Oryctolagus cuniculus: one gene and its partners. The protein of the gene in region 7 interacts with the protein of the main gene of each other region in a pairwise test. Links are inferred from orthologs where the notes say so. Each region holds a gene or a part of one and is shown on either strand. Other genes may lie near its edges.

Region 1 (3,500 bases), on a different chromosome or scaffold from region 7:
AGACCCCGTTAGCTGTGTGACTTTGGGCATCCTCCTGAACCCTGGTTCCCTCAACCACACAATGCAGGTAACAGATCTGCCAGGGGAAAGGATGACAGAAAAACCTCTGAAATTGAAAAAGTTCCCATATATAAATTATATATCATTTAGATCACCTTAAGTTTCACCGTATACAAGTGCATAAACATTTTCTGGTTTTGATATTTTACCAGGTGACTCGTACAAGGGATCACTATACTATTTTGCAACTTTGTGTGGAATTCTATTTCCGTTAAGTTTTCTTAAATATACATCCATTCTCCTCCACCCATTCCCTACCAACCCAACACCATGCTCACCTTTTCAAAATCTGCCAGTGATCTGTTCTTGCTAGCCTGAGCCACGCATTTTAATGCTTCTGTCTGAGAATAAAGAGACAAATCGTGAAAGTGATCTATTGTGCACTCACATTCACCCAAAAAGTCTCATGAGCAGTCTGTCGAAGAGCCCTCCCCACCACTGCTCCTTCAGAGGTCTGGGAAGAAAAACTACAAGTGTGGATATCACTGACAACCAGTTTCCTTTTGAAATCTTAAAGACACTAAGAATACTAGGAAATAGGTTTTCCAAAAAGACCCCAATGTAGCATTCTCCACAGTTGACACGCTCAGAGGGGACTGATGAGACAACTGTGGTCTTCCTCCTTCCTCCAGGACTCCCTTATCTCCACACCCACCCCACCTCCCTCCTGCCCTCAGACCTGCCTGCACCTGTGCTTTGTCCAGTCACTCGGAGATGTCTGGGAAAGTACTAGGGCCCACTTTCATTAGGGCCGAGGCGTCAGTATACACAGAATACACACTCACAGGGATGAAACCACAATCGGTGGTTATGGGGAACTTCTCATATAATTATAAAAGGCCAAGCTACCAAGTCTCCACTCCGTAAGAAATCTGCAATGCTCATTTTTTTTTTCTGGGAGACCAGCCTGACTGCTATTTGAAAGCTGTCATCCAAGTATAAAGGACAGAAGGAGCTGCTCTTCTGTCAGACTACATCCTTAAAGAAGGACAGTATGCTTTACCACACAGCGGATTAAATGGTGCACAGCTATCGCAAGGGCGGTCTGCGGTTGACATTTCTAGAACAAATGTTAATGCTACAATGACAAAAGCCTGAACCCAGAACCATATAACTCAAGCACAAAGTCCAGCTCCATTAGCTACCTGACCTTGTACCAGACACTTGACCTATCTGCACTCATCTCCTCAACTCTAATTCTAAAGAGATTAGTGCATCTGTCACTACAATAGTAACAAGTATTTTTCAGGTCAAAACTAGGAGCTGACTTGAAATTTTTACAGATGGAATGCCAATTTCAGGGCTACTTGTAGAGAACAAAGAAATTATGTTGTGGCCGTTCCTCCAAAAATATGGTGAGATAGCCAATTTGCTTGTTTGCAACAATTGCATTTGAAATGCAGAAAGTCTGCTTTCACTGGTGCTAATCAGGCAGAGTACAAACAGGGGATGGCCCACATCTGAGAAATGAGACTTACATAGGTCACAACATACTTGCTCTTTTAAGCCCATTCATACCCACTCAGACATAAGGTATCACAAAAAGGGCTACCAATCACCAAGAGTCTCTTTTTTCATCAAACTCAAATTTTAAAGCATGAGTGAAAAGGTACTGGGGCTGGCACTGTAGCAGAGCTGTGGCGGAGCCGGTGAAACACCAGCCCTGGCTGCTACAGCCATTTGAAGAGTGAACCAGCAGAAGAGCTCTCTCTCTTTCTTCCCCTCCTTTCTCTGTAACTCTGCCTTTCAAGTAGATTAAAATAAATAAATAAATCTTTGGGGGAAAAAAGGTACCGAGCTGAGAAGCACTCAGGTTGGTATCAAAGCCCAGTTTTACGCCAGGCAATCTAACCTCCCTAAAGCACATATGCAGCAGAACTGACCAGGTTCCTGACTCTGGAAATCCAAGATTTCATAGGCTCATGATAGTTAATCTTTTGGTCAAAGTTAATGCAACCTAACTTACTCACTCTACAGTTCAGTTCTGGAAGTCCCTCAAACCACTTGACATCCATAAAAGCACAAAACACTGAATTTCTGGCCCAAGAATTTAACAGCATAAGAAACATACTGAGGGGCTGGTGCCATGATGTGGCAGGTAAAGCCACCGCCAGCAGCACCAACACCCCATATGGGCACCGGTTTGAGTTCTGGCTGCTCCACTTCCGATCCAGCTCCCTGCTAATGCACCTAGGAAAGCATCAGAGGACGCCTCAAGTACTTGGGCCCCTGCACTCACATGGAAGACCTAGAAGCTCCTAGCTTCCAATTGGCCCAGCCCTGCTGGTGTGACCATTTGGGAAGTGAACCAGCAGATGGAAGATCTCACTATCTCTTTGTCTCTCTCTCTCTCTAATTCTGCCCTTCAGATAAATAACTAAATCTTTAAGAAAGAAAAAAAGAAACATACTGAATGTGCTTAAGGGAAGGAAGCAGGCAGGGGGAAGGAGAGAGCAGCATGGAGCCCTGAACAGCACTAGTCTCATCAAACAAGGTGACTGACAACATGCCGGCCTGAGTGAGAAGTGCAGTCAAGGTATTCCCTACCTGCCTCCCTGCATACCGAAGTGCAAGCTTCCCGCTCACCAAAGCCTGGACATCTTCTGGGCTAGAAAAAAAGACATACTCGGTCAATTGCTCCAGGATGTTACGCCTCTAAGCATAGGTTTAGGTGAATTTTCCTTTTTCCAGAATTCTACTGTGAACACTGGGAAGACACTGCCCACGCAAATAATCAGCCCCAACCCTTGAACCCATAGGCCCCTCATTCCAAAAGCTAGGCCTTCTCACTCTGAGCCAAAGCTGAGCACTGAGTAGAAAATCTCCAATGTTAAAAGAAAGTCAAATGGAAACTATTAAAAGCAATACACCCAGCCAGCGCCGCAGCTCACTTGGCTAATCTTCCAACTGCAGCGCCAGCACCCTGGGTTCTAGTCCTGGTTGCTCCTCTTCCAGTCCAGCTCTCTGCTGTGGCCTGGGAAGGCAGTGGAGCATGGCCCAAGTGCTTGGGTCCCTGCACCCACATGGGAGACCAGGAGGAAGCACTCGGCTCCTGGCTTCAGATCGGCACAGCGCTGGCTGTGGCGGCCATTAGGGGAGTGAACCAACGGAAGGAAGACCTTTCTGTCTATCTCTCTCTGTTTCTAACTCTGCCATCAAAAAAAAAAAAAAAGGCAATACACCCAACAGGCAGAACGATAAATCAAACCCCAATATAATAGGTCTTATTAAAACACAACCCCTGTGTAATCCAAAGATGAAAAACAAATCCCAGTATTTCATTTATTCCCAAAAGTGTATGAATAGTCCTGTAAAATTCTTTATAAAAAGATTTGTCATACTCTTTGTTGTTCACGCTTCAAAATTCTCCTTACCTCTTCCCTCCCCATTCTGCCTGGCTGGGTAGCACTGGTCTCCAAGCTATTTCCTGACCCTCTGTC
Region 2 (3,500 bases), about 74 Mb from region 7:
ATCATTAATAGCTTTCAAGATGGAAGGAGTCACAAACCAATGCATGCAAGCAGCTACTGGAAGCTGGAAGAGGCAGGAAACTGAATTCTTTGCCAGAGCCTCTAGAAGAATTTCATATCTGGTGATATTTTTAGCTCTACCTTCCAGAATTATAAGACAATAAATTCATGTTACCTTAAGCCACCAAGTGTGGGTAATTTGTCATATGAGTAATAGGAAATCAATAAGGAATCAAACACTGAATTCTCCAATCCCACAGAACGAAAGCTGGAGAAAGGAAAGGAGAGTTTGGAGCTGATGGTGGCAGAGACAAAACGCACTTCGAGTAATAAATCAAACTGCACACCACTCACCAAACTGTACTGGAGGCAACTTGGTTTCCCTAAGAAACAAATAGATTTCTCCTCTGAGAGGTTCATAGTCATAAAATGCTTCCATATTTTGGGGTTGGTGCTGTGGCTCACTTGGTTAATCCTCTGCCTGCAGCACCGGCATCCCATGTGGGCACCAGATTCTGTCCCGGTTGTTCCTCTTCCAGTCCAGCTCTCTGCTGTGGCCCTGGAGGGCAGTGGAGGATGGCCCAAGTGCTTGGGCCCTGCACCCACTGGGAGACCAGGAGGAAGCACCTGGCTCCTGGATTCGGATCAGCGCAGGGCCAGCCTTAGCGGCCATTTGGGGAGTGAACCAATGGAAGGAAGACCTTTCTCTCTGTCTCTCTCTCTGTCTATAACTCTACCTGTCAAATAAACAACAACAAAAAAACTCCCATATTTTTTAACATCCAGGAAATTTCCCTCTTAAATTTCCTTCTTTTCTCAGTTTTTGAGATTTACCAGAACTTTTGTATTTTACTAGAAAACTTTATCAGATTCATTCAGAAAGACAACTGTTTACCTCACATCTTATTCTGTGGCTTTCTGGTACATACAGCAACAAAGAATCACACAATAAAAATGATATTTAAAACAACATTAACTAATAATAGTTAATTACACTACTTAATACTACTATTTAATTATATATTATATAATACTAATTATTTAATTATAATTTTATCCAACTAATAATTATTCAATGACTAAACAATTTAATATATTACTTAATATAATAAATTATTAAATCTCTCTATATAATCTATAGAGCACCAATATTCGTTTTATGCATTCTGTAAACTTATTGTGAAATCCCTACCCCAGGGTTGCCTAGTTCTAATGGGCTTCCCAAACCAGGCACAAGTCTTACCACGCTCTGACCCAGCTGCTCTCGAAAGAAGTAATCCATGTTTCTCTTTTGTAGGCTGTCAAGGTAATGCTGAAAGCGGGTGTATGTATAAGGGTAGCAGTAAGCAAACTGGTAAATGTCTTCTTCTCGGTCAAAACAAAATGCAAAGGACATCACGTAATTTTTCCTGTGGTCCGGGCAGCGGTAGTAGTAAACATTTTTAGGTGGCAGTCTTTGCCTGAAAGATACAAAGAAATTTGGGCATATCAGACAATTGTTCAAGCTTCAAAAGTCAATAAATAGGACAAAGGATTAGGAGAAAAACTGACGCCAAGGACCCTGAGTGGTGGGAATGGGAAACAATAACAGACTACACAGAGGGAAAACCAGACCTGACTTTGGCAATGTTTTGTTCAAAATCCAGAAGTATCTTTTTTGAACTGCTTAGAAAACATAAGGTAAAATTAAAATGAGCAAATTTCATCTTCATTTTGTTTATCCTTATTTTGAGCACTTAATGTATGCCCAGCTGTTACATTAGTGTCTTAATGGACAATAAGACAAAGTTTCAGTTCTCATGGGTTATAAATTTTAGTGGAGACTTATTCAGTAAGATATTAAAAATAAACAGACAATAAAGTTAGAGACTCCAAAAGTTTTTTGAGTGAAAATAAAGAGTGTAATGTTATGGAAACATAAATAGGAGAGGCCCACTTTTTCCAGGGAAGTCAGTTTTTCTTTATTACAGGACTAATTCAGACCTTTTAAAATAAACTAATATGCATTGTGAATATTCAAGGAAGGGAAAGAATATTAAACATTTTTTCTAAATTATTACTATTATTTTTCTATAGAGAATTCCATGAGACTAATTTTCCATAGAAGCACTTTGGGAAATATTGCTTTAAAATATGCTGTGTGAGTGTTTTGCTAAGTCATCATGTTCATTCTTCAGTAAGGAACAGAGATGAATACATAAGAAAAGGAAAATGTTCCAGTCAGAGTCGTCTTAACTCCTTTTTATTTATGCTCTTCTTTTTTATTTAAATTTTTTATTTATACAAATGTCGGGGACCATGTAGCATGTGGCCTCTTAGTGGAAAACTAGTGAGGCAGGACTAGACAGCCCAGACCGGAGGGAGAGTACTGATAACACAACCTTGTATGACCTTGTGCCTTAAGACCTTGTAACCTTTCCCCTACTTGCACAAGCATTGCAGCTACAAGATAAGCTCCCCCCCTTCCCCCGCCCGACACCCTGCCTTTATGATATATAAGAGTGTGGTTGAAAATAAAAATCGCAGCTTAATCAGGACTTGTCTTGCTGCCATCTTTGTGTCTCCTGTCCCTTTCATTTCTCCTTCTAGGTGCTCGGCTCCAGTTGCTGTCCCGCGGGACAGGACATATAAATGGAACAAAATTTATATATCTCATACATATAATTTTATGTACATAATGACTTCTAACCCCATCCTCCATCCCTCCCTCACTCCCACACTTTCTTCTGCTTCCTTTCTTATTTTTCTTTTAATTTTTTTTCTTTGAGAACAAGATTTATCATTAATCAAAGAAGTTCCAAAGGAAATGGGCAATGGAGTTGGGCACTGAGGCTTATCTAAAACTTATGAGACATAAGATTATCCTTTGCTTAATACACTAATGTGAAGTTGATCTTTGAGAACAAGTTTTACTATTAACTCTCATAATACAACTCTTTGAGGACAGAGGTCCTACATGGGAAGTTAGTACATGGTGACTCCTATTGTTAATTTAACAATTAACACTCTTATGTATGACATCAGTAATCACCTAAGACTCTTGACATGAGCTGCCTAGGCTATGGAAGCCTTTTGAATCCACAAAATCCTTCAGTATTCAGACAAGGCCATAAGCAAAGTGGAGGCTCTCTCTTCCCTTCAGAGAAAATACATTCTTCTTTGATGATCACTTCTTTATCCTGGAGTTTCACCCACAGAGGTCCTTCATGTAGGACATCTTTTGCCACAGTATCTTGGCTTTCCATGCATGAAATGCTCTTGTGGGCTCTTGGGCCAGACTAGAATGCCCCAAGGACTGATAGAGAGTTATTGCACCCTCTCATGCTTTCTGATGTCCAAACACTTCACATTGCTTCCCTACAGAGAATGCTTCTCATTTCTAGCTCCTCAAATTCTCTTAATCCTAAAAAAAATCCATCTCAAATTGCGCCTTTTCCATGATCCTATGTTGATGATTCCTGGCCAATCAGCTCAAGTATTTTGTAGGCTCTCTTGCTTCCT
Region 3 (4,148 bases), on a different chromosome or scaffold from region 7:
GGTGGACTGGATGTGGGGTGAAGAAAGGGAGCCTTGGTGTGGTCCAGGAAGAAAGCACTCTGCTCCAGCTTCCCTGGACTGACCCCCTTGGGGCCAGGGCACGGGGCCTCCTGAGCCCACTTCTCCAACCCACTCTAGCAGCACTGCTGATTGGCAGCTTGCCAGCGGGAGCTGACTGACAGCTCAGTCCCCTCCTCCATGGGCCCATCTGTCCTGTCTCCATCTCCTGCAGAGCCACCCCCTCCCCTGCTCTGGGGGCCGTGGCGGAGGGGGGCAGCAGGGTCTGTCCTGGGATGGGCTTCTCCCATCAGGACGTCCTGACTGGTCCCTGAGGGCCAGGGGCCCCTCCCTCTCTGTCTGTCACCCTGGCTCTTCAGGCTAATGAGACCTGCCCTGATTCCCCAGCTGGCCTTAATCTCTCCCAGCAGGGGGCATGGAAGAAGGGGGGGTGGAGATAGGGCTCCTTATGGTGAGGTACAGTGGCCGCCAGAGGAGGGATTCCTGTGTGTGTGCTCATGTGTGCCTGCATGCATGCCTGAGTGTCTTTGTATGTGGGTTTGTGTTTGCCTGTGTGTGTTCCATGTGGGTTTGTGTTTGCGTGTGTGTGTGTGTTTCTATGCCTGTTTGGAGGTCTGGGGAAAGTAGAGCAGACCCACGTGGGGACAAGAGCCCAGGGAGATGTTAACATCCAGAGACAGAGAGTGAGACAGTGCAGAGGGAGACCAGGCAAGGAACCCGGGAGGGAGCGAGTCAGCAAGAGGCCCCCCCCCAACCCCAGGGAGGACACAGAGGGAGGGGCCTGGGGAGTGAGGGAGGCAGAGGCAGGGAGGAAGAGAGGGGCAGGTTCAGGGTTGGATGTGGGGGACACAGGTCTGCCCGGCCGAGGGCAGAGGGGCTGAGACCAGGCTGGAGCCCCAGGCAGAGGGGGACAGGCAGGGATCCAGCAAAATGAGGGCGGGTCCTTGAGGCCGAGGGAGAGACAGCTGGGGAGGGGAGGGAGGGCGGCGGAGGGTGTGTGTGGGGAGAGACAGACAGACAGACACACACACACATACCAGCATAGAGAGTGCCCGAGCACTCGAGCAAGTGGGTCCTGGAAGTGGGCCCATAAAGACAGAGGAGGGTGGGGGGAGAGCGAGGGGTGCACGGGCCAATCAGCACACAAGGCACAGCCTGGGGCCCGAAGGAAGAGACACTGAGGCACAGAGGCCCCACACAAATCGAGCGAGAACGGGAGCGTGGGCGGGAGAGCGAGGACGCGGAGGTCAGGGACCAGCGTGAGGCCAAGGCAAGGAAAGCATAAGAGGGAAACTGAGGCAGAAAGCAGAGGACAGTGTGGCAATGGGGAGATGGGCGGCTGGGGAGGCACGGGGGCACCCAGGAGTGGGTGCTGAGAGCCCTGGGCCCCTCCTCCTCCCCACAATCTCTCAGGAGCGCCCTGTGTTTCTGTCCATCTTTGCTGCGTCCCTCTGTGACAAAGCTAAAGCCGGACGGGCACCAGTCAGACCCAAGCAAGGACTTCCCGAGGGGTGGAGGCTCTGGTCACAGGCAGGTGCAGGACTGTCCCCCCACATCTCCATTAGCCCTAATTGCCAAGATGTCGGGGGAGGGGCGAGGGGACTTAGGCAGATGGGTGCCCCTCCCCCTCCTAGCCAATGTCACCTCCCGGTGCCCAGTGGGTGCCCCAGCTCGGCGGCAGGGATTACCCCCCCGGGATCCAGGCCACAGCGTGTGACATCACTCCCGGCTCCGGGGCTTAAAATCACCCGGCGGGTGGGGACCTGTTTCCTTCTGCCTCTGCAGCCTGGGTGACTCCTGTGCCGTGTGCGGGACCTGGGCCACCAGGGCAGCCAGGTCGGTCCCTGCCTTCGGAAGGTGAGCGAGTGCAGGAGAGGCAGAGGGCACTGCGGCGGGGGCCGGGGTTGGGGCCGGGGCCGAGTTCCCCTTGTTCCCGGCTGGCTGGGTCTGTGGGGTGGCGGACTGGGCAGGTACACAGCAGAGGGCGGGGACTGGCCCTGGGCACACGCAGGGGCCCTGGATGGAGGGTGCAGGGGTGAGGGCTTCTGGCCGTCCTTCCCAGACAGCCCCTCTGCACCCCTGCGGGGTGTTCCTGAGAAGTCTCACTGCTGCCTGGAACTTTCTTCTCTGGGCATCTGCCTCTCCCACTCTCTCTCTCTCTCTGACCCCTGATTTCTTCCCAGTGCCTGCTGTGTGGTGGGGGATTTGCCAGGGTGTGAATGGATGGACAGGGAAAGACAGAAAGGAAGCGACGCGTGCACGCGGGGCCGGGCTCTCGGGCTCTGCTAAGTGGGGACCCTGGGGGGACTGCCCGAGGGGCCGGGATGCTTTGGGAGCCATGAGGCTGGTGACCTCATTACTTGGGGACCTTGCCACGCCTAACGGCTCCGGCCGTGCCACATCCCCTCCGAGGTTCCAGCTCCTGGTCTCTCCTGCTCCCTGGGGACCCAGGACAGAGGAGCCCTCGGGGGCTGCAGAGATCGTATGGGGGGGCACACAGCCGAGCTGGGGCCCCTTGCCAAGGGTGGGCATGGAGCCCTTTGGGTGTGGCCTCCCTGGGCTCCGGTCTCCTCCTTTGCAAGGTGGGGCTGGTGACGGAGGAGCTGAGGGAGGCTGGGGTCACAGGCCAGGGGAGGGGCGGGGTGGCCTCATCCTGCTTCCTGGGACCCCAGGTAGGTTTGGGGGACAACGATGGGTCCTGAGAGACTTGGGTTCTCTCTCTGCTTCTGCCACTTACCACCCATGTGGCCTTGGGACCCCTGGGCTCTGGGGGACTGGGGGAGAGCAAGGTGGGTATAGGCTCAGGGGGCGCTGGCCCAGCTGCTGGCCTGTGTGTGTCATGGGACCAGCCTCAATTTGCCCCTCTGTATACTGGGGCTGATGCCAGGAGCAGCCTCGTAGGCAGTTCCTCCCCCAGGTTCTTGTCCCCCGATGTCTTGTTCCCAAGGCCGTGCTGCAGGGACTGAATAGCTGGGAACGCTGGGACGTCCTTATTGTTATCCAATGCCTGGACTAGGGTGGGCATCCTCCTCCCCAGCAGGCTCAGAGACCCCTCCATGCAGAATGGGGTCACTGCAGGCCTGCCCAGGAGGTGGGGGTGAGCGCTCAGGTGGACGCGGGGCCCCTGGCCGGTGCTGCCGTCCCTCCCACCAGCCCTGGGGCCTTGAAATGCAGCGGGGCAGGGGGCGCTGTCAGGACCATGGTCAGTTCCCAGACACAGCCGGAATCAGCCGCTTGAGATCCTGGCTGACAATTCCTGGGGTGCTCGTGTTGCCGCCCACTCCTCTCAGGAGGTTCCAGGGAGGCCCTTCCGAGTTCATTTCTTGCTTGTCATTTGTTGTCACATCCCGTCTTCGTGGCTTCATCCACGCCTAGCGAACAGATCAACCCTGGGTTCCCACATGCTGCTGCTTGGCCCTGGGCACGCGCCTTCCTCCCCTGGGATCCTGCCTGTAGGATGGGCTTGTCCTCATGGGAAGTCCAGGCTTTTGGGGACACCAGCAGGGTCCTCCTGCCCCACTGCGGGGTCCTCCCGAGTCTCCCTCTTCCCATGCTCTCTTGGGGTTCATAGCAAACACTTCTCCTCTGCAAAGTGGGAGACAGCAGAGGGGAGGCGGATGGAGGGGCTGAGAAGGCAGGGGTGGAATCCGGGGTCCCCAGAGGGCCTCGCTGGGCCTGAGCACAACTTTTGGAGTGCGATGGGGTCCCTGCCTCCCAGGGCTGTGTGACAAGGTACTTCCTGCTTGGAGGTCAGGGGGAGGCTGGAATGCCAGTTTCCTGGGGCTGTTTGAATTGCTACGAAAGGTAACAAAGTGTTGCAAGCTTGCAAGGCGGTGGGCAGCAGGCATAGATCTCCCACTTGGCTGCTTGAGCCTCCTCCTAAGGCGGCAGCCAGCTCCGCTTTCCCTGGGGGCTGCCCTCTGCCAGGTCCCCAGCATTCTTGGTTAGGTACTGCAGCCCCTGCCGACCCACAGGGGTCCCCGCAGGGTGTGGCCATCAGGGTGGACTGCTCTCTGCTGCTGGTTTGTTTCTATGCGTTTCTACCCCAGGACGCCCCCGCAGCTCCTCCTAGATCTTTCCTCTCTGCCCTGTGATTGGTTCTGGTCACACTGGACCAAGTGATTCCAGCT
Region 4 (4,121 bases), on a different chromosome or scaffold from region 7:
GATTCTGAGTCTTTCCTTTGACACATGGTGACTCTGTCTGCTCCCCACCTGGGCACAAACTGGTTGGCGGGTCGCTTGGGCCGGTACTCGGGATGCACCATGAAGAGCATGTGAGGGAAACCAGTGCCGAAGTAGGCACCATCCGTGTGATGGTGCCTCGATGACTTGGGTGTGTACACGTCCATGCACTTGGGGCAGTAGAGCTTCACCATGGCCTCACCTGGGATGTCCGACAGGCCTGGGAGACAGCCAGACTCAGCAGGCCAGGCACCCGCGACACTGCCGAGTCCCCTGCCCCAGAACTCAGCTCCCGCCTTGCTGAGCCCAACTCCTTCCCAGAGGACTGCCAGATGGTGCCCCCTCTCCCTTCTTCAATACTCACCGATAGGAAGCATTGGCTGGTTCTCACAGTATACACGGGGACAGTAGCCAAAGTCTCCCTGCTGGTACTTTTCCAACTGAAGGGAAAAAAATGGAAGGGATTGGTGGGTGGGTATGAGGATAAGCAGCGACCCCCACATAACTCTGTCCTCCACATTTCCTCCCTCTTCTTGGAGGTCCTTGTGCAGATCAAAGGGGCCCACCAACTTTCCCCCCAGTTAGGGAGGCTAATGACATCCAGGGCCATTTGCCGTCTGTTCTCTGAGGAAGAAGCAGTCCACAACTCTGACCAAGCTCACATCGCCCTCCCTGAAGACACCCCCTCAGCAGGACGTCCAGGGAGGACTCAGTTTCCCGGCCCAAACTCTGGGTTTTTCTCATCTCAGCTCGACTCCTTGACAGGGCTGCCAGATTACTGCTCACTGTAGGAACCTGTTTCCCTTACTGCCTCACAAGGAGTCACGCAGGCGCAGAGAGGCCTCACCATCTGGGCGATGCCTCGGTTGGTGAGGATGTAGCGGGCATGGATCAATCCGTAAAGCATCTCGGCCGCCTGCTCAATCAGGTCGCTCTGGTTGGGGTTGTCTTCCAGCTCTTCGTCTGAAATATGGGCCAGCCACATGCAACCACTGGCGTTCCAGCTTTCCCAGGTGCCCCGCCCACCCCCAGGGCTGTTGGCTGCCCAGTTTGCCCAGCACCCATCCTTGAGCTTCACCCAGTCCTCACGTGGGCATTTAACCTGGGTCTCTGCCCCTTCCACCAACCCAAGGAAGCCCAGCCTTCTCTCCACACCTCTTCAGCCTCTGCTCTCTTCTCTCCCTCCCAACTCCTTCCTTAGTACGTAAATACAAAGATGTCAACACAGAAGGTGGAACTCTAGACTGGAGGGTGCAAGGCAGGCAAAGAGGCAGTAAACAAGACCCGCGAGGAAACTCGCATAAGGAGGAGCGCTGAGCTACAAATTCAGAAAGTATGGCAGCAAGTGCTATCAGTCACAAAACTAGGCAAGAATTCAAGGAGGGGGGCAAAAATGCTGCTGGGACTTTGAGGTTAAGGGTGTCAGAGAACCAAAAGGAAGTTTAGAAATTCAAGAGGTAAATTCAAGAGGTAATTTGAAGAGAAAAACAGCCCCCCCACCATGAACCTTGAGGGTGTCTCACCAGGTTCCAGGTCCAAGATCATGTCTAGAGCTTGTCGATAGTGAGGCACCTGCTCATTGAGGCCGGTAAGGTTAAATTTGTCCTGGATGTAGTCTTCATCCACCTGGTAGAACACGGAGGTCAAGAGGAAAACTCCTACTGGGACCCCCAGCTTCTGAGCTGGCCAAGGTCACCTAACGAACGCCTTGTCGGCCACACGGCTGCGTCTGGTCTGCCTGTTTCCTACTCCAACTCAGCGTCAGTACTTCAGCCGCTGTCCCGAGTTCACACGCACGCCCTCCCCCCCGTGAAAGCTCCAGCTTCTCTCCTCCAAGGACAAGCAAGCACAGCAGTCTCCTTAGAGACACACTCGACTCCCGCGTCTCTAGTCCTGTTCCTCATCTCTAGGAACCAGTTCTGTCCTCTCCTGAGGGAACAGCTGCTCTCTGAGGAAGGTGGAGGCTGAACAGCTTGGTTTCTGAAGGTGGTTAGAATTCCTTATGTCAACACAGAGCTTTGCATGTTACAGAACATTTTAAGGTGCAGTATTCCAATTCTCCTAACAGCCCCCAGAGATAAGCACTACCAGTAGCATTCTAGTAATGAAAAAGCAAAGGAGAAAGGACACTTGGCACGGTGGTTCCTACATGGTTAGAGATAACCCACATCCCAAACTGGAATGCTCAGGTTCAAGTCCCAACTCCACTTCCAATTCCAGCTTCTTGCTAACACACACCCTGGAAGGTAGCAGGGTGATGGCACAAGTACTTGAGTCCCTGCCACCCACATGGGAAACCCAGGTAAGTTTTGGGATCTTTACTTCAGCCTGGCTGGTAGCAGTAGCTGTTGTAGAAATTTGGGACATAAACCAGTAGACAGAAGATCCTTCACTTTCTCTGTTGCTCTACCTTCAGATACTTTAAGTACAATAAAAAAATTAAAAAAGAAAAAGAAAAAAAAAAGATGGTCTGACTAGTTCAATGTTATCCTCCTGGGGGTGCGGTGGGGTGTGTGACAGAAATGGGACTTGGGCCCCAGTCTTGCCACATCGCCGCTGATTAGTGGGGGGTTACTGAGGGGACCCCTTCTTTCACGGGAAGGAGTTTCCACGGGATAAAGTGTGCAAAAGCTGAAGATACCCAACCTGAACGCATGGAACCAGCGAGTAGGAAGAACGAAAAGCACTCACTTCACAGAAGAATTCATTGCCACGGAGCCCACAAAACCAGGAAATCCAGGACACTTCCTCCGAGCTGCTCATCTTCACGTCAGCTGGAAACAGGAGTCAAGTCCAAGCTCTCCCTCCCCGGCTCTGGCACCTTCCCTCCTCCCACACTCTGTCTTTCAGCCATGGAAGAATTTGGGGCCACCCTTTTTTTTTTTTTTTTTTTTAAAGGATCCCAGCCTTTGGGACAGGCTTCTCTAGCTCTTGTTATTTACACCTCGGCCCCTTTTCTCTGAATGAACTTAGAAATTCCTTGGCAGGAGCCCACAAGTACCGACCCAGCAGTCCCTACCTACATCCCCCGCGCCCCCGATGGCCAGACCCCTCTCGCCTGTGTCAACTCTGGCAGAGTCCTCGGCTCGGGCTCCCTACCACCGCAGGGCTCCGGCACCCTTCCCCAAGAATTAGAAGTTTATCTTTGCCAAGCAACGACCGACACCTCCTTTTCTCACGACCCGGGGCGAGGGGCGGGCACCGCCAGGTACTCTTTCACGGAGTCCCCACAGCCTGCCTCCCGCTCTCCGGCCACCCTTCCCTCCCACGGTTACGGACCGGGTCACTTCCTTCCTCGCCCCCACCTCAAGGCGGGGAGACCCCATGTGCCGCTCCTAGGGACCGGGAACTCCGCGGGGCAACCACTTCACACTCACCAGCTGGACGGGGAGCGGGACCGGGGTGGGGGAGGGGAACAGCTGCTTCCAAAGAACGACGGCGACCGCTACAGCGAAGGCCGCGGACCCGACCGCGGCAGGCGAAGTCGGGTGGGGGGAGTGGAAATCGGGGAGGGTGGGGAAGAGGGCAACGCGCAAGCGCCGAGGGGCGAGAGCCGCGGTGGACGCTGGGAGATGGAGTCCGCTAGGGCGAGAGACCGGCGAAGCGAGGGAAAAGCGAACTACGAATCCCAGGACAGCTCACTCACGACCCTCGTGTCGCGAGGCCCCCGAGGACGCGGCTCGGGGGCGGGGCACAGCGAGGCGCCACCGGAAGCGGAAGCCAAGTAAGGCGTTCGGGGCCAGGAGCCTGGGAAATAGAGTCGTATGCTCACTGGACTGAGGGGCCAAGAGGGGGCGGGGGAAGAAGCGAGGCGAGTCGGGTCGCAGACGTTGCCCTCGGGGACCCTCAGTGAGCCCTGGCCAACCCTCCTAGTTCTTATCAAGTCGGGCACGGCCTTGCACAGGAGAGCCCCACGTTTTACCCTGAGCTCGGGCCTTCTGAGGTGGGAGGTACGAACGGGCTCCGTGCTGAGGGACCTGGGTCGGGTGTGTCTGTCCTGAGTTGAGCGTTATTGACAACCAGGACGGCCCGGTGCGCTAACCTGAGGCGGCGCCGGCCATCCTGCTGCTCGTCCCCTTGCACTTCTCCATTTCCTCCCAGGG
Region 5 (4,201 bases), on a different chromosome or scaffold from region 7:
AGCTCTCTGCTGTGGCCTGGGAGTGCAGTGGAGGATGGCCCAAGTGCTTGGGCCCTGCACCCCATGGGAGACCAGGAGAAGCACCTGGCTCCTGCCTTCGGATAGGCGCAGTGCGCCGGCCGTGGTGGCCATTGGAGGGTAAACCAACGGCAAGGGAAGACCTTTCTCTCTGTCTCTCTCTCACTGTCCACTCTGCCTGTCAAAACAAAACAAAACAAAAAGAATCCCAGCATCCTATACCCTCTCCCTATACAAGGCCTTGAGTCCCTGTGCTGTCCCCTGATCCAGGCCAAACGCCTTCCTGACATGAGTAACAACGCCCTGACCCCCCCCCCCCCCCAAGGCTCCTCTTCCAAGTACTGGCACGAATCTCATTTCTCTCTGGGCCCCAGACCACTGCTCCCTGGTCTGCACAGGGCCACCAGGCAGAGATGAAGGGATCGGAAGCCTGCACAGGGCCACCTGGCAGTGGAGGCCCAGACCCAGACCTGCAGCCCCACGGAGACCAGGACTCAGGTTAGGCAAGAAGCCCTCTCTCCCAGCACCTGGCCCAGGTCCCCAGTCTCCTGGGACAGGTGGCCTCGTTACAGGGCAGTTTGGGCAGCGACAACCTCAAGGACACCACCAGCAACTCAGACAATAATTAGGGAACAAAGAGCCAAGGCCAAGCAGCGCCCCACCTCCCCCTATTGGGCCTCAGTTTCTCCCAGACAGAGAGGCGGCAAGGGTGGAGCTGGCCAAACAGGCAGTCCACAGCTCTCAGGGCACACACACCTGCCTCCTGGAGGTGATGCAGGCACTTGCTTGTTTCTATGACAACCCCTACCCTCTCCATACCCAGTCAGGGTGTGACATGGGGCCTAAAGGAGCCTTCATGGGCGCTGCCCGACTCCAACCTCTATCAGAAGCTTCCAGCTTCCGCCATCTCCAGAGAAACCCCGATGGAGGCGGAAGCCCCACCATCACTTCTGGCAGCTGCTCCAAGACCTCACCACCTCCCCGGGCTCTGCTCCTTCCTGGAAGGGGAGAGCAAGCCTCCCTGGGGAACTCCCTCCGGTCCCGAGGCCGCAGAGCACCAGGGCTCTGGCATCTGCCGAAATCATCATGCAGAACGTGCAGGCCAAGGAGGCGGACAGAAAACTTCCTGGGAGTAGGAATGTGTGCGTGTACAGGTCTTCATGGCCGCCTTTATGCCCAGGGGCAGCAGAGTGAGCACTGCGTGCCAGGAATAATGCGTGTGAAAACATGAGTGTGTGTTTGGACATGTTCAATACATACACCCGTCTAGGTGTGAACTAACGTGTGAACCTCACACGTATGCGTGTGTAATTAAGGGTCACCATGCAAGTACGCAGGAGTAGTAAATGCACAGGTAACAGGTGAGTGTGCTGAGATGCTGAAGAGGAACCCAGGACATGGGTTCCCCCCCGCGAACTCCTGTGTGTGCACAGCAGGCCGGCCAGAGCCGGGTTACCCACAGAGAAGGCTCTGAGGGCAGGCATGTCGGGCACCGGGGAGTGCGAGGGAACCCGCCAGTTTTCACTCTGGAGTGTGGGGAGAGGGGGAACCACCTTTGTCCGAGCTGTTCCCCTTCTTTCTTGCTTGTGTTCCATCGAGTTCATCCCTTTCCTCTCTACCCAAGTGAAAAGACACCAAGAACCAGGTCGGTGTCAGTCCAGACTGCCGGAGGAGCTGCTGGGAGCAATGGTGGGCCTGGCTGCAGGGCTGGGGCCTGACAGCACCCCAAGCTCCAGCCCTGGGCAACGCGGGCACCCGGGAGCCTCCTCCTCCCTCTGCAGGGCCACGTAAGGCACGGACAGGACGGGGGAAGGGGCTGCTAAGGGGGCCATGCGGGCTGGCATTTCTGTCCGCATTTCTCCTCTTCAGGGAGCACAGAGAAAAGTGAAAACTGAAGGAAGGCGATGGGCCCACTCGGAGAAAGAGCCAAAGGCCGAGACAAAGGCTCAGGGAGGCGCGGGGGTCAGGCGGCCAAGGAAGCCAGGCAGGCCGGCCCATGGCGCCAGGCCCCGGAACCGCAAGAGGCCAAGGCCCCCCAGACCCAGAGCGACGAAAGCCGGCCAGCCAGGCCCAGCCAGTAGGACTCCCGCTCTCAGAGCCCGACTGAGAAGGAGGGGCAAGCCGAGGCTCCATTTTGAGAAATGCGCCGTGGCTGTGGGCAAAGGGAACCCCTCGCTCTCCCGAGTAATCGCCGCGGTGGGCAGGACGGAGGGCTGAGGGCTGGGGCTCAGCCAGGGCCAGCGACGGCTCTGGCCGCGCTCCGAGCTCGCGCAGACCTGTTTTGGGGGCTGAGGAGTTCGGGAAAGTCGCCCTCCCACCTCAACTCCAAGAACAGTCACGCAGGCTCAAGTCTGGGATCCGAGTTCCCATTCCGAGGCAGGAAGCCGGGACCCCTCCCCCCGCCCACCCCCACTCAGCCGACGACCCCCCCCCCCCACCAGCACGGCGGCCGCCGAACGCCGCCTCCCCTCCCGACGCCGCCGCACAGAAGTTGGGGGCGACCCCGGGTCTCCTCCCGGCCCCGGCCTCCCCCTCACCTCCGCCGCGCTGCTCCATGCTCAGCCCCGGGCCGCCCCAAGCGCTCCACAGGCGCGCCGCCCGGCTCCGGCCCGCGCGCGGCCACTCGGAGCGGCCCGACCCGGCCGGGCCCCGCCTCCGCCTCGGCGGCGCACCCGGCCCGGGCCAGTCCCCTCCCGGCCCGAGTGGGCGGCGCGGCGCGGGGCGGCGCGGGGGAGGGGTCCGAGGGGCGTCCCCGCCCCGGGGCGCGGACACGCGCAGGCACCCCACGTCACGCGTGTCTGCTGGGGCGCACGCAGGGGCTGCGCGGCGGCGAGCGGGACCCCTCCCGCCGAGTCTCGGTGACTGCGTGTCGGACGGCTCGGTCGGCTGTGGATTCGGCGGGCGGGTCACCCCCTACCAGAGCCGGGCCCCGGGGCCAGCGGCAGCTGGTCATTGTTCGAGCACAAAGGGCCAAGGCGCGGCGCGGCGGCCCCTCCCCCTCGCTTCTCTAATCGAAGCCCGCCCCAGACACTCTCCAGCTTCAGAGTCCAGAGCGGGAAGCCGAGGGTCAGCTGCCCGCCGCTCCTCGGCTGCCGGGGCCCTGCGCCCCAGCACTAGTCGGGGGCCGCGGCCAGGTCCCTGCCTGGCCCACCCCACAGCGGGCTGGAGGCGGTACACGAGGATCTGCGGAGGCGGCGCCACCTGGCGGTCGGTTCTCAGAGCACATCTACTCGCCCCCCGACCCAGGGGGGTCTTCTCCCACTCCACAGCCCGTGCCCGTGGACGCCAGCCCAGGCCTGCCCTTGGCGCGGCTCTGGACTCCCCAACTTTCCCTTGGAGTCGCTGGCTAAGAGAAGGGTCATTGCCCGGGGAAGGGCGGCTTCTGGCCTCCCCAGTGGAAAGGCACAGCCCAAGCCTACACCAGCTTCCCACCAGACAACATTCCACGGTCTCCTCAGGGTCACGCATATGCTCACCCTCTTGGAAACAACATCTTAACACCCACACGACCTTTCCCACATTCAGTCTCGGGCAGCCGCAATCGCAGAGCTTCATCCGTCACGTGGTCCCCCAGGCCTCCTTCCATGCACTCCCAGGCCAGCTCCCGCGCAGCCCCGCGTCACACCGGTTGTGCATTAAGTCTTTCACAACAACTCGCAGGCCCTCGCACCTCCCAGCATCTTTCACATGCTGACAGCCTCGCAGTACTCACAAACAGCTTCTCATACTGCACACCGTGTTTTGCATGCACTCTATCACACAGACCTTTCCTTAGGGGTCTCTGTGACCTGGCCAGGTCAGCTGATGCCCGCTGGCCTTGGCGAGGACGGCCTCCCTCGCCCAGACGGCAGCCCTCCCCCGCAGGGCCAAGGCCAGCCAGAGCTGGGCTCTGCCCCAGGAAGGAGCATCCCCCCCTTCCAGGCCACAGCCCTGGCCGGCGCTCAGCTCTATTTTTAGCTCGATGGGTTGTTTTTCTTTCTTTTTCCCTGGAAAGGGAAACATAGCCCAGCCAACCTCAGGCTCACCCCAGACCCTCAGCTTCGCAAAAACAGACTGAGCCCCTTCCCCAGTGGAGAGCCCCTTCCTCTGGTCGTGCCCTGATCCCGGCCTCCTGGGGCACTCAGAGCCGCCTCCCCTTGCTGGCAGCGCGCCCGGAGGCTCAGGCAGCAGCTGGGATCAGCAT
Region 6 (4,190 bases), about 2.7 Mb from region 7:
CTTGATGGTGTTTGACAGGGAGCCAGGGGGTCGGTGGGGGGTGGGGGATGCTAGGTGGGCCGAGTAGGAGTGAGAAGGACGTGGCTCTGAGGCTGGGGGACATGGAGATGGCCTGGCGAGGTCGGGCATGCGACCAGGGACAGGAGGCTGCCAGGCAGGCAAGCAGGGCCGCTCTTATCCAGGGCTCACCTGATCCAGGCAGAGCTGAGGAAGGGACAGAAGCAGCATCAGACACAGCCGGGGCCTGCAAACCACAACCAAAGGCAGGAGGGGCCGTCAGAACCGTCAGAACCGAGTCAGGGCAGGCGTTGCGACACTGCCCCTCCCCGCCCCCCAACACCCACAGGCTCCCATATCCTGACCACCGAGGTCTTGGAAAGCAGAAGTCACCACTTCCCCCAGCCCTCCCAGGGGTCCTTTTCCCGCGCCCTAGGGCCGAGGCCACCCCTCCCTCCCCCCGGGGTCCCCCCATCCCATCCAGGTGGCCCCCCTCTTACCAGCCTGCCCACTTCATCTCTCACCCCTGGCAAGGGAGGAGGGGCCTGGAGGTGCACACTACTCAGGCATCAGGGCGTGGAGGGGTACGCTCTGCGGGAACACAAGCCTGGCGTTTACCTCCCAGCCCCCAGGAAACAGGGAGGCCGGGAGGGAGGGCGCCCCCACCTTCCTTCGGGATGTTTAGGGGCTGCTGCCCTGGCCGCGGGCTAGGGCTGGAGGGTGGGGGTCTGACCTCAGCCTCCCGACTCAAGCTAGGCTCAGGCCCCTCCCCCTTGGCCCTTGCAGGAACTTCTCAGCCCCTCCCTAAGTCCCCTCTAGGGGCAGTTCCTAAGCCAACATCCTCAGATGGGTCCCTCTGGCCCCACTCCTCCCTCCTGGAAAGCTGAGGGAGGCTCAGGTGAGCACGGGCCGGACGCCGCACCTCACCCTGACAAGTCCCATGAGCTTTCCGAGAACGAGCCCCTTCCCAAGCCATCTCTGCATCCTTCCTGCCTCCCAGCCTTGTCTTCCCTTCTTAGCTAAGCTCCTTAGGAACAGTCAGGCACAGCTCGGCCTGCCTCAGACACTTTTTGGCCAAGGGATAAACTGAGTGGGTTGGTGGTTTAATCTCTATAAAGAAGAAGCAGGTGACTCAACCTCCCCTCTAGGCACCAGCACCCCTCCGGCTTGAGGCTTGCTTTGTGCACAGCCGGGAAGGCTGCAGGGACCTAAGCAAGGACAGGTGCAGAACTGCCCCTGCTCCCGCAGAGCCGGGAAGTCCATCCTGCAGTCTAGCCTGCTCTCAGCCTGACTCTCCCTGCCCCTGCAGGCCCCCCCAACACCTTCTGACTTTGAGCCCTTCCTGCCCCCACTCCTAATCCTGCTCTTAGTTCTGCTTTCCAGGAAAAAAAAAAAAAAACCCAACCCTGTTTCTGTTGGATCTGAAAGGCACCCGGGAGAGGGTTCCAAGGAGCCATTGCGAGGTGGGCCGGCTCAGGGGCAGCAGAAGCACCATGGGGAGAGCAGGAATGTGCCGGGGGTGGCAGCCCGCGGCCCTGTTCCCCTCCCTGAAACCCGGAGTGGGCAGGGTCCCCCTGCTGCTCGGGGCTGGGGAGGGGCTGCTGATGGCCCTGGCTGAACTGACCACTGAGGTCAGCCACCCCGCCCTGCTGGGCGCCGGGAGGCGGGGGCCCATGTTCTACGCAGACCTTCAGCCCCAGGCCTGTGGATGAGGCTGAGGGGAGGAGAGGTGGGTGGGGGTCACGCAGGGGCCCCCTCCACGCCCGCTCTGCCTCTGCTTCTCTCTGCCGGTCTCCCCAGTACATATAATCCTGTCCCGAGCGGGGCTTGGCTTCGGCAGTTCCCTGGAGAAGTGAGGGGTGGGGGTGACGTGAGCTCCCGGGGCGCGGGCCAGGCCTGGCTCCCTCTCTGGAAAAGTCCCACCCTGCCCTCCCCTGCACAGCTGGGCAGGGGGCCGATACCCCCTCCTCTGCGAAACAGACACACATTTGTGCTTTTTCACCCTTTGCACGCCCCTCTTCTGGTGTCTCGCTGCCCTGGGTAAGGAAAGAAAGCAGAAGGGGTCACTCCAGTGCCAGGCTGGATCCTGATCTGGAAAAACCTGGGCACCTCCTGGTCACACCTCCTCACGCTGGCCAGTGAAGATCAAAGAACAGACCTGCAGGGCCGGCCCCCTCACGAGGCAGGAGTCACTGAGAGGGGAGGGGCTGGCGGTGGACAGCCCCTGTCCTGGGTCAGAATCTCTTGCTCCCACCCGGCCCTCAACCCTGGGTCCTGGGGGAACCATCGCAACAGGTGTCTCTCTTTTCCGTCAACCTCTTTCGCCATCAGGCTGAGCGGCATCAAGGCGCCCATCTGCATCCCTCCCAGCGACCTTATTCCCAACTGCGGGAGTGAGGGGGTGTCAGGAAGGACACGTCCTCCGAGAGCAGCAAGGGCAGGAGGCGAGCGCGCCTGCAGGGAGGTCTTGGGTATGTTTTCCAACTTCACTATGTGACTTAGTAGGAATCTTGGCTCATTCCCCGCGCGGGTGATGGAGCCAGAGTTACACGGGATCAGACCCCCTCCCCAGGAATTCGACCCCAGGGGTTAGAAGATCTTCCGAGACCATCAGCGCCGGGGCCGGGGTCCCGGCGGGGGCGCGACCGCGCGGAGCTGGGGCCAGGGCGGTGCGGGCTGGTGCGCGGGCCGGGTGGTCTAACGGGACCCAGTGGGCAGGGGGCGGCCGGGGCCGGGGCTTGGGGAGGGTCTCTACCTGCTCGGCGCGCCCCCGGCGGCACGGTGGCCCTTCTGCGCCCCGGCGCTCCCTCGGGGCAGCCTTGCTCTGCGGCGGCCACTCCAGCCCCTGAGCCCGGCTCCGGACGCTGCCGCCTCCGGCCGCGGCTCCGCCCCGCGCCCCGCCCCGCCGGCGCCCCGCCCCCCCGGCCGCCGAGCGCCCCTGCCCGCGGTCCCGGGGTGGGGACGGTCGACCCCACAGCCTCCGCGCGCCAGTGCCACCCACCCGGGGCTGCGTCTTGAGGCAGAAGTCGCTCCCGGGGCTCAGGACCCCAGCACCCGCTGTGCCAGCGCTGCGCCCGTCCGAGCGGGGTGACCTCGAGGGGCGGCCGGGATCCAGGTGGCGCCTGGTCCTGAGTGACCTGGGCGAGGCGCGGGCCCGGAGGGAGGCCGCACGCAGGGTGCATGCAAATGGTCCTGTGCGTCTCCCGGCCCCCGTCGGCCAGGGCGCGCTCCTGCACACAGACCAAGGTCAGTCGCGGCCGCCTCTCTGGGCCCTGGCGGCGAACCAGGTGGTTCTGGGAGCCTGGGTTTCCTCCACCATAAAGTTTTACATGCAGGGCGTAGCGGAAGGAGCGCGCGCCGGTGTATGCGTCGGGCCGGCCTGCCGCCGAATGGCAGCTCCGGCGCTGTCCGGTTCGCTCTCTGTGCTGCAGAGGCCAACCGGACGTCGGGGTCGGTGACGGACCTGGAGTCGGCTGTCCGTCCAGTTGCATCTAGAAGAACGCACCCCGACCTCGGCAGCCTTGGGGACGCTGGGGAGGAATGCGTCTTTGGAGCAGGGAAGAGAAAGGGTTTCGCGTCTTAACACTGCGTGTGCTGTTTAGATTTTTAAGCTTGAAGCGTTATCCGTGTATTATGTTAAAAAGGAAATTATGTAAAATGACTGACAGAGTAGATGATGATACATGGTCACTAGTATTTAATTTTTTAAAACGTTTTTATTTGCTACTCATGAATTGCATTTTGGTGAGTCTATTCAATGTTTTAAATTTATTTATTGGGACCTGTGTTGCGGTGTAGCTGGCGAAGCCGCCACCTCCTGAGACACTGGCATCCCATTTGTGGAAGATGGCCTGAGTGTTTGGACCCCCGCTGCCCACATGGGAGACCCAGCCTGGTTCAGCCTTGGCCTGTGTGGCCATCTGGATGGAAGATCTCTGTCTCTCTTCCACTCTCTGTAACTGACTTTCAAATAAATAAATAAATAAATATGTTTTCCAAGTTGTATGTGTTTGAGAGAGTGTATTCCCACCCACTGGCTCACTCTCCAGATGCCAGCCTCTGCCAGAGCCGAGGCTGAATTGAAGACTGGGCACACAGTCCAGACCTCCAAAATGGGTCCTCAGGGACCCCACTACTTGAGCCCTCGCTGCTGCTTCCCAGGCTCTGCATTAGCAAGAAGCTGGAGTAGGAGC
Region 7 (3,988 bases):
CACAGCGCCTTTTGATATTCCTCAAAACTAAGTATGAGACCCCAGTAATAGCATAATTCAGGCTTAAGAGAAAACCCCGGTCCTCATGTTCTCAAAGCAATGCCTTCCTGCCTGACTGGCTGCATCAGACTCACAGGATTTTTTTTTAACAGACCTAACAATAACTCTCAGGCTCTGAGGCAGATACAGGAGCTGGTAATCTACTTCTAAAAATCTTCCCTGATAATAACAGTGTGACTTTCTACTAAAAGCGAAAAAATCACCTTTAGCACATTATAAAATGTTATGATACAATACTCGATACAATGTCTACAATGTGCTTCAAAATACTTTGGTGAGGATACAGTGGATTGGGACTTAGATGACACATGTTCATTCATGACTTGGTCATTGTTTAAAATGGCTGACAGGTACACAGAGTTCATTATACTGTTCTTGCTACTTGGTAAAGGTTTCAGAGTCACCATAACTGAAACAAATCTCAGGTTATTCTTATGTGCAACCAGGATTAAGAACCACCCAACCAGTCTGGTGATGGAGGCAGGCACCTGGAGCCCTCTGGGCCTCCCACCACTGTTTCCGTCAGTTACTTTTATGACAGATCTTCAGTGCAGAATCTGAAAGCTATGGACTATTAATATGCCTAGCTTCGGAGGAAAGCCCTCCCACTTATGACACAACATTTCTGTGGTAGGAACGGATGCAGCCGACTGGCAGCAAGAATATTTGCTCCAAGTTAAATAGTCGGCAAAACCAACAGGAAAAGGGGCAAAACAACAGCTAGAGCCATAGTTTGGAAATAGGTGAGAAACATGTTGAGGAAAGGAGAGAGTAGATGGAGTACTACAAAATTTTTGAGTTGGATGAAACCTTAGGAATTACATAAGCCAATTTTTAAATATCACAAATGGCAAGACTGCAATGTGGGGGAAAAAATGATCCAAAATAGGCCCCAATTCAGACACAACAACCTAGCTTTTATTGAGGCCATCAAATGCTGCAGTCACAGTTTCACAACCACACTGTTCTTAAATCCTGAGTCATTAACATCAAAAAAGGGTAAAAACACAGGAGGCAGATCACGTTGGGAAAATTCTGAACAAGTAAATTCAGGTGGCTGCGGAGACAGCCCAAATGATGGGGAAGAAATTCTCAAGTTGAAAGGGAAAAAAAGCACCAGAAAAGAAATCCCAAAACAACTCCTTTCAATCACTCTCTTTTCTGTCTGTGATTCTGTTCTCAATGGGGATTCCAGAAGATAAAGAAACCACAGCATGCAAATTTCCTGTACTAGCAATGTGGCAAATAAGGATCTCTTTCTGCCCAGAGGCCCTAGTTGGACGAAAGTGATGAAGTGATAAAAACATCAGACCCTGCCATCTTTGTCTCTCCATTGTTCTATTTCACCCTACTCAGCCCAACTGGAGAAATTAAATGCATTTCATGCCGACAGTTCTAAGAGTGATTAGACACTGCTCTGGAATCATATGGCTGTCAGCGCCATCTGTCCATTCTGTAGTGTGAACGCAAGTTGGTCTTCCCAGAAGTCCTAGGAACTGAGAGCAGGCGCTTCAGAGGGGCAGCTGGGGGTGGGTGTTTTCAGCCACGGGCAACACTCTCAAGTTCTCCTGGAGAGGAGAGGGGACTGGGAATCATTTGCCCTCCCAGCAAGCAGCTGGGTGTCGGCCACCACACCAGTGCTGGACCAAGCAAAAGCAGTCAACCAAATGACGTCCTACTGATCCCAAGCCTAGGACAAAGTAGTCAAGAAGGCAAGGAGTCGCGGCTCACGGCCGTACCAAAGGGGAAGAGAATTTCAAGTGCAGAGCTCCTAGAAAGGCAAAGATGACACTGATACACAGACATTTTCAGGAAAATGAAATTCACTGAGCCACCCTCAGGGCCAATGTGAAAAACTGCCACCTCCCCTGCGAAGTTTCCCCACCCAGTTTACAATCTGCAAATTCATCAACACTCCAAGAGGGTACCCGAAACGGCGGCTGTCTATTGTCCCCATCCTTTAAAACGTGGCGGAGAGACTAGTCAGAGAATTCCGCCGCCTCGCCCTATTTTGAAGCAGCACCGTAAGAGGAATTACCATCCAACACCTTCGACTCGGAAAATCCCTTTTAATTCAAAAACCCATCACCCAGTTCAGTGTCATGAGAAGGAACCCAGCAAGGGAGGAGCCCGAAACCAAGCCGGCTGCAGCACCGCCGACGTCTTGGGGCGTGAGGCCGCTTACCTTGGAATCAGGCAGGCTGAAGACGCTGGGGTCGTCCGTGCTCCCCACCATGATCTTGTGCTCCTTGCTCGGGCCATGGCCGCCGGCACCCTCGGCGCGCGCAGCCTTGGCGCCGTGGCGCTCCCCGGACACCCGGTCGCTGGTGGTGTTTCCCATGACCGCGGCTCCAGTCGGGGGCCACCTGCCGCGGGGGCACCACACCGGGCGGGGAACACCCCAGACGCCGCGTCCGTCACCGGCGCCCCCGGCCCCGCCCCTGCGCCCGCGGACCCGGGCGAGGGAATCCCCTCCCTCCCGGCCTGCGGGAACCCCCGCAACTCCCGGGCCTCGGCGCGGCCCCGGCTCAGGGAACCGCTATGGGGACCTCCCCCGCAGCCCGCGCCGCCTGCCCCAGGGCGCCCACGCCCGTCACCACCTCCGGCGATGCGCTCCTTCTTGTCCAGGCCACCGGCGCGATGGCCGTCCCGCGGGTGACGCCACCAATAAAGTTATTGAAATTGAAGCCGCGCCCCGAGCTAGCGCCCCTGGTTTCCTCCTAAAATGGCTACAAGGCCAGCGGCGCGGGGGGCCCGCCCCGTGCGCGTTCCCTGCGGCCCGCCCGCCTCTCTAGCCGCCGCCTCGATGGTGAGCCGCGCGCCGCAGCCAGCGCCGGGCCGCGCGGGGGCACAAGGGCGGGAGGGAGGCGGCGTCCGGAACCGCCGGGGCGTGGGCTCCGTGGGAACAGGCTGCCGGGAGGACCCGCGGCGGCCGCTCCCCGGGCGTCCTCACCCCGCCTCAGGCGCCCCACAGGCGTGGTGTGCGCGGCGTCATGGCCCTGGGCGACCCGGAGAGGTGGCTTCCTACAGGGAATGAGAACGGACCTCGGCCCCGAGCAGAAGGAAGGAGTGGTTGTCCCTGGACGCGAACACTGGGTACCGGGGGAGAGAAGTCAGCCCGACTGGGGTCCCCGGGAAGAGCTCAAGATGGAGTGATCGGCCGCTAGCCCGTGAGGATTAGTGAAATGTTAGCGGAATGAACCTGTGCGGTGGGCACCCCTGGAAGAAATAACACTCCGGAGACAGAGCAGCAGCAAAACCCATCAGAAGGAACGCGGAAGGTATAATAAGGGCACAGACAGCCCTCGGGTTGGGAGGGACCCCGTTTTTGTGATCATGAATGGAGGTTCGGGGCCTTTGCGGATCCTTGCTGTGTATTATTATCTCATCCGTGTCTCGTTCCCTACTGCAAAGCTCTGTCAGCCTGGGATACTCGTGTCCGCCAGCGGCCCCGGCATCACCAGGGAGCTTGTTCGACATGCGGACTCCCGGGCCCCATTCCCACATAGGGAATCAGGCTCCGCCCTTTAACAAGACCACCTGGGACTGTGAGGAGGGTGCTTTGACAGCTGGCCTACAGCGGAACCACGTGTGATTTCTGTCTGTATTCTGCATGCACCTCGTACAAAGCTTTTTACCAAGCATTGGCAGAGTGAAGGGGACATGCATACCGTTACACGTTTCTAACAAGATATGCGACTTAGGCTTGAAAATGGCCAGTGATTGGGGACCCAAAGGCACCCCACCCATCTTTATGAGTGAGGGGCTCTATCTGTAGAGAGAGGTTTGCTTTGCCCCCTTGTAAACTCATTCTCTGGCTCTTAACCACAGACAATTTACAGAGAAAAAAGTACCATTTTACTGCAGTCTCTTGCTCACCCCTCCAAAATCTTTTTATTTATTTATTTATTTATTTATTTATTTAAAA

What was found.
Region 1: the proteins of PRKAB2 (region 7) and PSMD11 interact in binary tests that used the Homo sapiens proteins (3 or more experiments, as listed by UniProt). The link is inferred for Oryctolagus cuniculus from reciprocal best matches to the Homo sapiens genes PRKAB2 and PSMD11.
Region 2: the proteins of PRKAB2 (region 7) and BEN domain-containing protein 5 interact in binary tests that used the Homo sapiens proteins (3 or more experiments, as listed by UniProt). The link is inferred for Oryctolagus cuniculus from reciprocal best matches to the Homo sapiens genes PRKAB2 and BEND5.
Region 3: the proteins of PRKAB2 (region 7) and cone-rod homeobox protein interact in binary tests that used the Homo sapiens proteins (3 or more experiments, as listed by UniProt). The link is inferred for Oryctolagus cuniculus from reciprocal best matches to the Homo sapiens genes PRKAB2 and CRX.
Region 4: the proteins of PRKAB2 (region 7) and CSNK2B interact in a two-hybrid assay, tested with the Homo sapiens proteins (2 studies listed by BioGRID and IntAct). The link is inferred for Oryctolagus cuniculus from reciprocal best matches to the Homo sapiens genes PRKAB2 and CSNK2B.
Region 5: the proteins of PRKAB2 (region 7) and LZTS2 interact in binary tests that used the Homo sapiens proteins (3 or more experiments, as listed by UniProt). The link is inferred for Oryctolagus cuniculus from reciprocal best matches to the Homo sapiens genes PRKAB2 and LZTS2.
Region 6: the proteins of PRKAB2 (region 7) and ADAMTSL4 interact in binary tests that used the Homo sapiens proteins (3 or more experiments, as listed by UniProt). The link is inferred for Oryctolagus cuniculus from reciprocal best matches to the Homo sapiens genes PRKAB2 and ADAMTSL4.

Annotation. Positions count from the first base shown.
Region 1 is NC_091448.1:41,599,261-41,602,760, forward strand, and holds part of PSMD11 (26S proteasome non-ATPase regulatory subunit 11), read right to left. Parts: intron 2,669-3,500; coding exon 2,608-2,668; intron 402-2,607; coding exon 339-401; intron 1-338.
Region 2 is NC_091438.1:123,791,698-123,795,197, reverse strand, and holds part of BEN domain-containing protein 5, read right to left. Parts: intron 1,460-3,500; coding exon 1,243-1,459; intron 1-1,242. UniProt on the Homo sapiens protein: Acts as a transcriptional repressor.
Region 3 is NC_091449.1:9,969,913-9,974,060, reverse strand, and holds the start of cone-rod homeobox protein, read left to right. Parts: upstream 1-1,348; 5' UTR 1,349-1,548; intron 1,549-1,803; 5' UTR 1,804-1,875; intron 1,876-4,148. UniProt on the Homo sapiens protein: Transcription factor that binds and transactivates the sequence 5'-TAATC[CA]-3' which is found upstream of several photoreceptor-specific genes, including the opsin genes.
Region 4 is NC_091436.1:138,947,093-138,951,213, forward strand, and holds the start of CSNK2B (casein kinase II subunit beta), read right to left. Parts: upstream 2,801-4,121; 5' UTR 2,782-2,800; coding exon 2,710-2,781; intron 1,645-2,709; coding exon 1,542-1,644; intron 982-1,541; coding exon 866-981; intron 459-865; coding exon 383-458; intron 239-382; coding exon 49-238; intron 1-48. UniProt on the Homo sapiens protein: Regulatory subunit of casein kinase II/CK2.
Region 5 is NC_091446.1:28,872,964-28,877,164, forward strand, and holds the start of LZTS2 (leucine zipper putative tumor suppressor 2), read right to left. Parts: upstream 2,801-4,201; 5' UTR 2,556-2,800; intron 2,418-2,555; exon of another isoform or gene 1,693-2,417; 5' UTR 1,623-1,692; coding exon 1,572-1,622; intron 1-1,571. UniProt on the Homo sapiens protein: Negative regulator of katanin-mediated microtubule severing and release from the centrosome. Required for central spindle formation and the completion of cytokinesis.
Region 6 is NC_091438.1:47,452,929-47,457,118, forward strand, and holds the start of ADAMTSL4 (ADAMTS-like protein 4), read right to left. Parts: upstream 2,801-4,190; 5' UTR 2,753-2,800; exon of another isoform or gene 589-2,752; 5' UTR 515-588; coding exon 498-514; exon of another isoform or gene 245-497; coding exon 190-244; exon of another isoform or gene 1-189. UniProt on the Homo sapiens protein: Positive regulation of apoptosis. May facilitate FBN1 microfibril biogenesis.
Region 7 is NC_091438.1:50,111,967-50,115,954, reverse strand, and holds the start of PRKAB2 (5'-AMP-activated protein kinase subunit beta-2), read right to left. Parts: upstream 2,801-3,988; 5' UTR 2,402-2,800; coding exon 2,246-2,401; intron 1-2,245. UniProt on the Homo sapiens protein: Non-catalytic subunit of AMP-activated protein kinase (AMPK), an energy sensor protein kinase that plays a key role in regulating cellular energy metabolism.